2 linked regions of the Cricetulus griseus genome follow. The protein of the gene in region 1 purifies or fractionates together with the protein of each later gene. This does not show direct contact. Links are inferred from orthologs where the notes say so. Each region holds a gene or a part of one and is shown in the gene's direction. Other genes may lie near its edges.

Evidence for each region.
Region 2: the proteins of Cdc25a (region 1) and Ccnb1 purify together in Homo sapiens (affinity purification with mass spectrometry; 3 studies listed by BioGRID, with this or other methods). This does not show direct contact. The link is inferred for Cricetulus griseus from reciprocal best matches to the Homo sapiens genes CDC25A and CCNB1.

Annotation. Positions count from the first base shown.
Region 1 is NC_048597.1:217,357,146-217,362,372, forward strand, and holds part of Cdc25a (M-phase inducer phosphatase 1), read left to right. Parts: intron 1-60; coding exon 61-180; intron 181-2,192; coding exon 2,193-2,327; intron 2,328-2,813; coding exon 2,814-2,888; intron 2,889-3,028; coding exon 3,029-3,208; intron 3,209-5,227. UniProt on the Homo sapiens protein: Tyrosine protein phosphatase which functions as a dosage-dependent inducer of mitotic progression. Directly dephosphorylates CDK1 and stimulates its kinase activity. Also dephosphorylates CDK2 in complex with cyclin-E, in vitro.
Region 2 is NC_048595.1:319,285,729-319,289,941, reverse strand, and holds the end of Ccnb1 (G2/mitotic-specific cyclin-B1), read left to right. Parts: coding exon 1-230; intron 231-470; coding exon 471-611; intron 612-1,078; coding exon 1,079-1,189; intron 1,190-1,416; coding exon 1,417-1,524; 3' UTR 1,525-2,468; downstream 2,469-4,213. UniProt on the Homo sapiens protein: Essential for the control of the cell cycle at the G2/M (mitosis) transition.

The DNA of each region.
Region 1 (5,227 bases):
CTCACCAGCCCTAAAGCTGGTTTTTATTAGACAGAAAATATATCAAATATTGTTTTGCAGGAAGCATTCGAATTTAAAAAGCCAATAAGACCTGCATCTCGTGGCTGCCTGAATGCCCATGTACATGAGGAGAGTAAAGATTTCTTCACACACAGGCAGAACTCAGCCCCAGCTTGTATGGTATGTGTTGTGGCTTTCTGTCATGGGAAGAGAGTTTTCAACACTGCAAACATGTATGCTTATGTGCATTAGTACATGTTGTATCAGCATAGAGTTTATTAATGCTGAGCCTATGGTACATGCCTATAATCTAAGCACTTGGAAGGCAGAGGGAGGATGATCAGGAATTCAGGTTTATTCTCAGCTCAGCCATGAGCTCAAGGTCAGCCTGGGGCTACATGAAATCCTTTTTCAAAAAGAAAAAAAGGCAAGTTTACTGTTATTGCTAGGTGTGGCGACTCAAACCCAACATTTGGGAGGCTGAAGAAGGCTGTGAATTATCTGGAGTTACCTCTTGGCAGGTTAGAAAGTTTCATTAGAAAAGTTGATTTATTTGTCAAAGGATGTGTTAAGAGACAGAATTTAACTGTAGATTCCCCAGTTCATGATAACAGTTTGAGATTATATCTGAAATAGAATATATTTGATGGATGCTTGGGGATCAGAATGCCATGATTTTCTATGATTGCTTGATCATTAAAGGCACAGATGCTGAGGTGCAGACTTTTTTTTCAGATTTTTCTTTTATTTGTATTAGAAACAAGATTGTTTTACATGTCAATCCCAGTTCCCTCTCCCTCCCCCCTCCCTCCATCCCCCCAGGTGCAGACTTTTTAATTTATTTATCCCTGCAGGCCAGACTAGGGTACCAGATCTCATTAAGGGTGGTTGCTGGGATTTGAACCCAGGTCCTCTGGAATAGCAGCCAGAGTTTTTAACCTCTGAGCCATCTTTCCAGCCAAGGATGCAGACTTTTAAAAAGCCAGTGAAAATTTTATTGATTTAGCTTTTGTTTGGGTTGGGATTCTTATTTGCTTTTTTTTTTTTTTTTTTTGAGACAGGATCTCTTAAAATCCCAGGCTAGCTTCAAATTTGCTATGCAGTTGAAAACTGCTCCTGTCTCTGGGATTACAGGTGTTTGCCACCACAGCCAACTTATTTTCCAGGTTTGGGTGTCAAATAGGTGAGGTAAATGATCTTGGTAACCTTAAGCATAAGTTTCCTTTTATTAAACAAAAATCAAAGGATTCTTTGGGTATGTTGGTACACATAGTCCCAGCTCCTCCGGCGGCTAAAACAGGGTGGAGTCTAGGAATATTTAATCTCAAAGAAAAAAAAGGATTGACTAAAATAGTATGTGCTGTGACTTAAATGAGATTATAGTTGTAAAGATTTTGTCTTAGTGTCTGAGACATTATAATCTCTCAATTTAAAATTGGGCAGCTGTGTTTTATTTAAATCATTTTTACTTTTAATTATGGAGTGAGTAGGCTGTTTATGAGTACAGATGGCTGAGGAGGCCAGAGGTTTAGGATCACAGAAAACAGAGCTGTCTAAGGTGGATACTTGGAATCAAATCAGACTTTGAGCTTCTGCAAGAGCCATGCTTGCTGTTAACCTCCAAACCATCTCTGTAGCCCCAGCTGTCATTTAATCCAGTGTGCACTTGTGATCTCAACATTTGAGGGGGTGGAAGAAAGGTTCACAAGTGTTGGCTCACCCTGTCTCCAAAAGTAAGAAAGGACTGGGAAAGGCTTTAGAACAAGTTCTCTTTGTTTCCATCTGTCTGAATGGGATTTACATAGGTATTGTTCAACTTTCTTTGGTATACTATTTTATGGTAGAGACTGGTATTTCCAACAGATTGTGCACTGCCACAGCTTGCAGTTAGACTGCAAGAAGAGCTCAGAGGCAGTGGTGGTGCCAACTTTAACCCCAGAGGCAGGCTCATCTCTGAATTTGAGGCCTGGTTTACAGAATGAGTTCCATCCAGGACTGCCTAGGCAGCAAAAGAAACCCCGTCTTAAAAGGGAAAAACAAAGTAAGAGCTCAGGAGCTAGAGAATCCAATGTCTTCTTCTGATCTCTGAGGATGCCAGGTTCCCACATGGTGTACAAGCTTATCTCTTTTTTTGAGCAATCCAGCTAAGCAAATCAAAATGGACTAGAGTTCTTGCTAATTTTGTCTTTCAGCTATCTTCAAATGAAAGTGATAACAATGAATCAGGACATTTCAGTCCTCTTTTTACATCCCAGTCCCCTGTGAAAGCCACTTTGTCTGATGAGGATGATGGCTTCATAGACCTTCTCGATGGAGAGAATCTGAAGGTATCATCTGTGGGTGTGAGGGTGTGCCTACTCATTCTAGCTACCACTGGAGAAGGCTCCTAAGTAAAAACAGCTCCTGGAGTCTCAGCTGGCTGATTGATTTGTGAGATTATTGGGACTCTTCCCTGCTTGACTAAATCCTATTGCAGGGGGAGTAGTGGCGGAATGTGTGCTTAGGGTGCGCAAGGCCTCAGGTTCAATCTCTTGTACCAAAAAAGGAGGTGCTAGCCTTCCCTGGTGGTAATGCCTGTAATCTCAACATTTAGGATGCTGAACAGGATTGCCATAGCCACAAATTAGGCCAGCCTGTGCTACAAGTAAGGCTCCTCCCCAAAAACAAAACAAAACAAAAAAATGTATTCAGGCTTGTCTGGCACTCTTTAGGAGAGTTAAATGCAAAGCATTTATTAATCTCAACTGGGTCCTTTTCTTCTTCCCAGCCCCTCCACTGGATCTATTTAAAAACAGTTTTTTCTCTTGCTCTAGAATGATGAGGAGACCCCTTCGTGCATGGCGAGCCTCTGGACAGCTCCCCTTGTCATGAGAAGACCTACAAACCTTGTAAGTTACTCCAGTATGTGGAGTTTTCAGTAGTTGGCCGCTGAACAAAGTAGTCCATAACTATGTTGACTGGAATAATCTAGGACTTGTCATTCAAGTGATCAGATTGTAATCGAGGTGGCTCTGTCTCTTACCCTAAGGGCAATCGATGCAGGCTGCTTGACTCCTCTTCCCCGTGCAGCTCCAGCAGCAGCTCCAGCACTCGGGCAATGTTGAAGAGAACAGAGCGCTCTCGTGACGAGTCCCCTCGAGGAAATACAAAGCGGAGGAAGAGCATGGCCAGTCCTGTAAAGGCAGATAATCTAGAGCCAACCCAAGAGGTTAGTTTTGCAAGTTCTCCTTTGGTCTACAAAAACAAAGTGTTCTTAATTGTTGAACCATCTCAGCAGTCCTATTATGAGATGTTTTTGGTTTGGTTTGGGGTTGCCTGTTGCTGAGGATTGAACCTATTCAAGAACTTGGTCAACAAGCTCCTTGTCCACTCCTATTTTCCTCTTTGGTTTTGTTATTTGAGGGTAGGGGCACATAAACAGTGCACATGTGGATGTCAGAGTAGGACTTGGAGACCTTTCTCTTTTTACCATGTGGCTCCCAGGCTTAGAACTCAGCAGCAAAGAGACCTTAAGTTGTTGCACCTTCTCACTGGCTCCTGTTTATTTTTAAGCTACATTCATTGTAGCTACTTTTGGGGGCGGGTTTATTGTTTTGAGACTGTCTCACTATGTAGCCCTGGCAGTCCTAGAACTCACTGTATAGATCAGATTAGCCTCATACTCAGTGATCTGTCTGCTTCTGCCTCCAGAGTGCTACATATTCTGCTTGTTTCACCATCTTTTTGCTTTTTACCATTCTAATACTGGGACAGTTGGCAAATGTTATTTCACCCGACTGTGTTCTGATGGTTGTTTTTATCTTTTAGGAGCAGGTTCTCTTGTGGCCTGGGCTGCCTGGTGCTATGTGGTTTATGGTGGCCTCGGAACTTTTGATTCCTCTGTCTTGATGTCCCTAGTGCTGGAATCACAGCCATGCCTGAGTTTTTGTTTGGGTTTGGATTTTTTGTTTGTTTGTTTGTTTGTTTGTTTGTTTCGAAACATGGTTTCTCTGAGTAGCTTTGGAGCCTATCCTGGCACTGACTCTGGAGACCAGGCTGGCCTCGAACTCAGAGATCCACTTGTCTCTGCCTCCCAAGTGCTGGGATTAAAGGCGAGAGCCACCAACGCCCGGCCACCACCCACCATTTTATTGGTCTTTTTAAACATTTGTGTGTGGGGGTGTGCACATGTGCCATGGTGCATGAGAACCTGTCTATAAAACAGAATGGCTAAACAGGGATAGATGTGATGTTTCCCTTTAAGGCAGAACCTATGTAGCCCAGGTTGATCTTAAATTCATGGTTTTTCTGCCTAAACCTGCTGAATGCTAGGGCCTGTGGTTTCTTACTGACTTTTTCATTTTTGTTTTGTTTTGTCTTTAAAGATGTATTTATTCATGTATTTATGTATGAGTGCTCTGAATGTACACCAGAAGAAGGAATCTGATCCCAATATTGATGGTTGTAAGCCACCATGGTGGTTGCTGGGAATTGAACTCAGGACCTCTGGAAGAACAGTCAAGTGCTCTTAACCATTGAACCATCTCTTCAGCCCAACTTTTTCATATTTTTGAGAAAAGATTTCACTCCACACCCTGGACAGCCTTAGGTTCACTGTTTCTCAAGTGCTGGGATTAAAGGTGTAAACTACCAAACCCAGCTTCTGTATTTGTTGTGTGTGCATACATTCTAGTGAGTGTGTAGGTCAGAGATTGGCTTTCCAGGAATCTGTTCCCTCCTTCCACAATATGGTCCTGGGAGTCTAATTTAGGTTATCAGGCTTGGCAGCAGGCAACTTTACCCATTGAGCCATCTTTTTTCTTTTTCTTTTTTTTTTTTTAAGATTTTATTTATTATGTATACAATATTCTGCTCTGTAAGAGCAGCCGGTGCTCTTAACCTCAGAGCCATCTCTCCAGCCCCCATTGAGCCATCTTGATGACTGTTTTTTGTTTTTTCGAGACAGGGTTTCTCTGTGTCTTTGGAGGCTGTTCTGGAACTAGCTCTTGTAGACCAGGCTGGTCTAGAACTCAGAGATCTGCCTGCTTCTGTCTCTGGAGTGCTGGGATTAAAGGCATGAGCCACCAACAATCTTAAGGTGCCCACCCACCTCCACCCTCTTTTTAAATACTATTTTGGCGCAAGACCTTTGTGTGCCATGGCATGTGTGGCAGTTAGAGGACTTTCCAGAGTTGATCCTCTCTCCAATGAGGGTTCCTAGGATTGCTGTTAGGCATATACAAGTACA
Region 2 (4,213 bases), on another chromosome or scaffold:
GTGTACCCAAGAAGATGCTGCAGCTAGTTGGTGTGACTGCCATGTTTATTGCAAGCAAATATGAAGAAATGTACCCTCCAGAAATAGGTGACTTCGCTTTTGTGACTAATAATACTTACACTAAGCACCAAATCAGACAGATGGAAATGAAGATTCTAAGAGTTCTAAACTTCAGTTTGGGTCGCCCTCTGCCTCTGCACTTCCTCCGTAGAGCCTCTAAGATTGGAGAGGTACACATTACTTGAAATTTTTATTTTGCTATATTAGAGAATACGGTAGATATATAAGTACATGGGAGAAGGATATGGCTGTTATTATTTCTAATCAGGTTGGATATTATATGGTTACTCTTAAAGCCTTCTGTGGACCATTGTATTTGAGAGTTTGTAGTCACAGATCGGGCTTTGTAAGTTAGCGCAAAAGCAAAACTGCAAAAGACGCTCAGTGGTATGTATGTGGATCTGTTTCAGGTTGACGTTGAACAGCATACTTTGGCCAAATACCTCATGGAGCTCACTATGTTGGACTATGACATGGTGCACTTTGCTCCTTCTCAGATTGCAGCTGGAGCTTTTTGCTTAGCACTGAAAATTCTTGACAACGGTGAATGGGTAAGCAGTCTCCAAACCAATTGTAAACAGCCTTTGAATGCACCATTTTTGCCCTTGTGGCCCTTCTGCTTCCTCAATAGGAGTAAATGAATGGTGGTGAAAATGTGGTGCCATCCGACTTAGAATGCTTCCATTCTTCAGGTTTTTCATCTTTCTGATAACACCCTTTTGGAGTCTGTCTGTTAATCCTTTCACACATGAAAGCTACACCAAGTGGTCTAAGACCCATACGCATTCTTCATGTACCAGATGCTGTCCTGACCTTGGGGTAGAAAAGCCAGCATCTATAATGCTATGGTTAAATTGAAGCACAGGCTCTCGGAGGAGCACACCTGAGCAAAGAGATGATTTATTTAAATTTCAGTTGTGTTTACCGTTCACTATCTACCTGCTAGACTCTTGAATAGCATCTAGAACAGTTTTCTGGAAGTGGCTGGTGTTTTAACATGCTTTTGTTGTTGTCTTAGACACCGACCCTGCAGCACTACCTGTCCTATACTGAAGAATCCCTTCTGCCTGTCATGCAGCACCTGGCTAAGAATGTAGTCATGGTGAACCGTGGCCTTACAAAGCACATGGTAAGTTCATTGAAACTTCACAGCTGGTTTAAGACCTTTAATCCCAGCACTCTGGAGACAGGGAGAAGCCAGCTAGAGGTTGGCTTGGAGAGGTTTGGTTTTATGTTCATCTTTGAAGTTAAATGTAATACATTGTTCCAATCTCTTTTCTCCCTCTAATCCCTCCATGTACACACCCCAGTGGGATGGTTTTTGTTTTCCCTGATTATAGTGCTTTTCTCTTACAGACTATCAAGAACAAGTATGCAACATCCAAGCATGCTAAGATCAGCACTCTGGCACAGCTGAATTGTACACTAGTTCAGAATTTGTCCAAGGCTGTGTCAAAGGCATAACTCAAGTGGACCACTACACTACATCGGCAAATGCAATTGGCACCATGTGCCACCTGTACATAGTATACAGTGTTTACTTGCTCTTCAATAAAGGCTGTTTTACTTTTCATAGCTTACCTCATTTGAATGTTGGTTGTTCTGACTCTAGGATAACAAGGGTTGTCTAAAACATTTAGGATTATTTTTGAAACTGCTTTTAGTTTAACAGAGAATCCAAGTAATGTACGTAATTGTAGCCTATATGTTTATGTACTTCCTTCTTTAATGTGTCCTGGTCATATCTTTTAAGTCATCCTGCAAAGCCCTCTGCCTAGCTCTTGTTTAAACTGTCAATTTACCAGCTTGTCCTTAGTTCCCTTTTCTATTTCTTCAGGTGGTTGCTGTCCTTCACTGTGTCTTGAGCTATGGACTTTCAGATCTGAACCCCAGTTTTCTTGTGTAATTATTTATTTGTTAATTGGCTTGGGAAATAGCATGTTTAAAATTAAAGGTATAAAAAGAATTTGCCCCTTAATCTCAATGTCCTATATAAATGTAATCATGCATATGTTGTCAAGGAGATATGGACTCATTTTTTTCAACAATATTCCTTTTAATGCCTATATTGCATTTCCTAAGTGTACATTTCATACTGTATGTAATGTATTCAGTGATCCTTTACAATACATTCAAATTGCATTCTCTCATTGCCTCTAAACACAATACTGCTAAAATGTTGTTTTATGCCTTGCTTGGCTGTATGCATAGTAGCTTTCCCAGGGGGTATATGCTTTAAATTCTGATGAAGCCAGATGAGACTTTGTGTTGTTGGCACTATACCAAGGTGCCATTTCCTCTATCTTTCCACTGTCTTATGACACTTAACTGGCAAAAATCCTGTCTCTGTTTGTTTTAATTTATACATCTGATGTCAAGTTGAATAAAATTTATTAATGGAAAGCTTCCCCAATTTCTCATTTTGACTGTTTAGTGGTTTTTTTTGTTTTGTTTTGTTTTTTGGTTTTGGTTTTTCGAGACAGGGTTTCTCTGTAGCTTTGGAGCCTATCCTGGCACTCACTCTGGAGACCAGGCTGGCCTCAAACTCAGAGATCCGCCTCCCGAGTACTGGGATTAAAGGCGTGTGCCACCAACGCACGGCTTTGGTGTTTTTCTGTAAAGAAACGTGTCGATAATTTTCAGTCTTAAGGTCAACCAACTAGGAAGTGTGCACACTAATTCAATACCAAGGGAGGCAGAAACAAGCAGACCTTTGTGATTTAAGGCCAGACCCTGTCTCAAAATTCACTTTTCTAAAATGCTTTCTCTTTAGGTATATATTCCTTCAATAAACTTTAAGTGATATGATGGAAGAGTTTTCCAGATGAACGTCCAGTTGTGTCACTGATAACATCTTGAGTGCACATTTATTGGCCTCTGATCTAAACAATTTTTCCCCTGTAATAACAGATTGTTTTATATTGAGTTTTAGGAGTTTGGGGCCAGATACAGCTTGACTGTTGTCAAGTACTTGGCATTATCAGACATTTGCCACATGAACTTTGAGATTATGTCTGCACAATAGTAGTGAAAAAATATTTTACTATCTTTTTAAAATTAGAACATAATTACATAATTTCCCTTTACCTTTCCTCAACCTCTCCCACGTAACCCTCCCCTTACATTCTCAAATTCGTGGCCTCTGGCTTCATTGTATATTTGTATGTGTATAAATATAATCTGCTCTGGACAATGGTGGTGCATGCCTTTAATCCCAGCTCTCGGGAGACAGAGGCAGGTGGTAGAGAACTTATTAGGAAAGACTTTTTCAGCATTCCTTAGTTGCCTGTAGTTGTCTAGGTTGAGGCCCCATGACTTCCCCTTTTGTGTTAGTGTTGGCATCCTTGTTGAAGACTTGTTTAGGCAGCCATATTGTTGAGACTTCATGGATGTAACTTCCCTAACATTTCAAGGAGACAATCTCAGTCCTCCTGTTCCTCTGGCTCTTAGCAATATTCCCCCTCCTCTTTAGTGTTCCTTGAGTCTTAAGATCAGGGGTTGATGGATGAGTTGGGGTGGGGAACTACAAGATCACTTGTTCTGAATTTTGATAGTTTGTGGTTTTCTGTGGGTAGAGGGATAGGAATGCAGTACTTGTAACAGCTGTCTCCAGCTGGCCTGCCTCTCTTAAATACTGGAATTGTATGTTTCACTATGCCTGCTATACTACTGATATGAAGGTGGTGGTGAGGATCTAACTCAGGCCTCAAACATGCTTTTAACAACTTGAGCTACACTTAACCATCTCTGAATTTTTGAGTTTGGTAAGGAGGTTTTGATCCTATTTGTCTCTCCCCACCCCCAAATCTTCCAGACCCACTCCCTTCCCTTCTGACCCAACTTTGTGTCCTGGCATCAGAGTTTTATTTTATTCTAGGACCCCACCCCCCAGGGTTTCTCTGTAGCCTTGGTTGGAATTCACTTTTTGTAGACCGGCCTGGCCTCAATCACAGATCTACCTGCTGTGAACTTTAAACGGGAACCATAGTACTTTCATAACAGGACAAGCATGGTGTGATCAACTTGGGGAGTGGCTATGAGGGAACATGGCAGCCCTTCAAAGAGCTGCTGTGCTTGTTGAGCAAGGCAGTATACCTTAAGTGACCATAAAAAACTTACAAATCATTTGTACAGGTCCAGCATTTTCTCCATT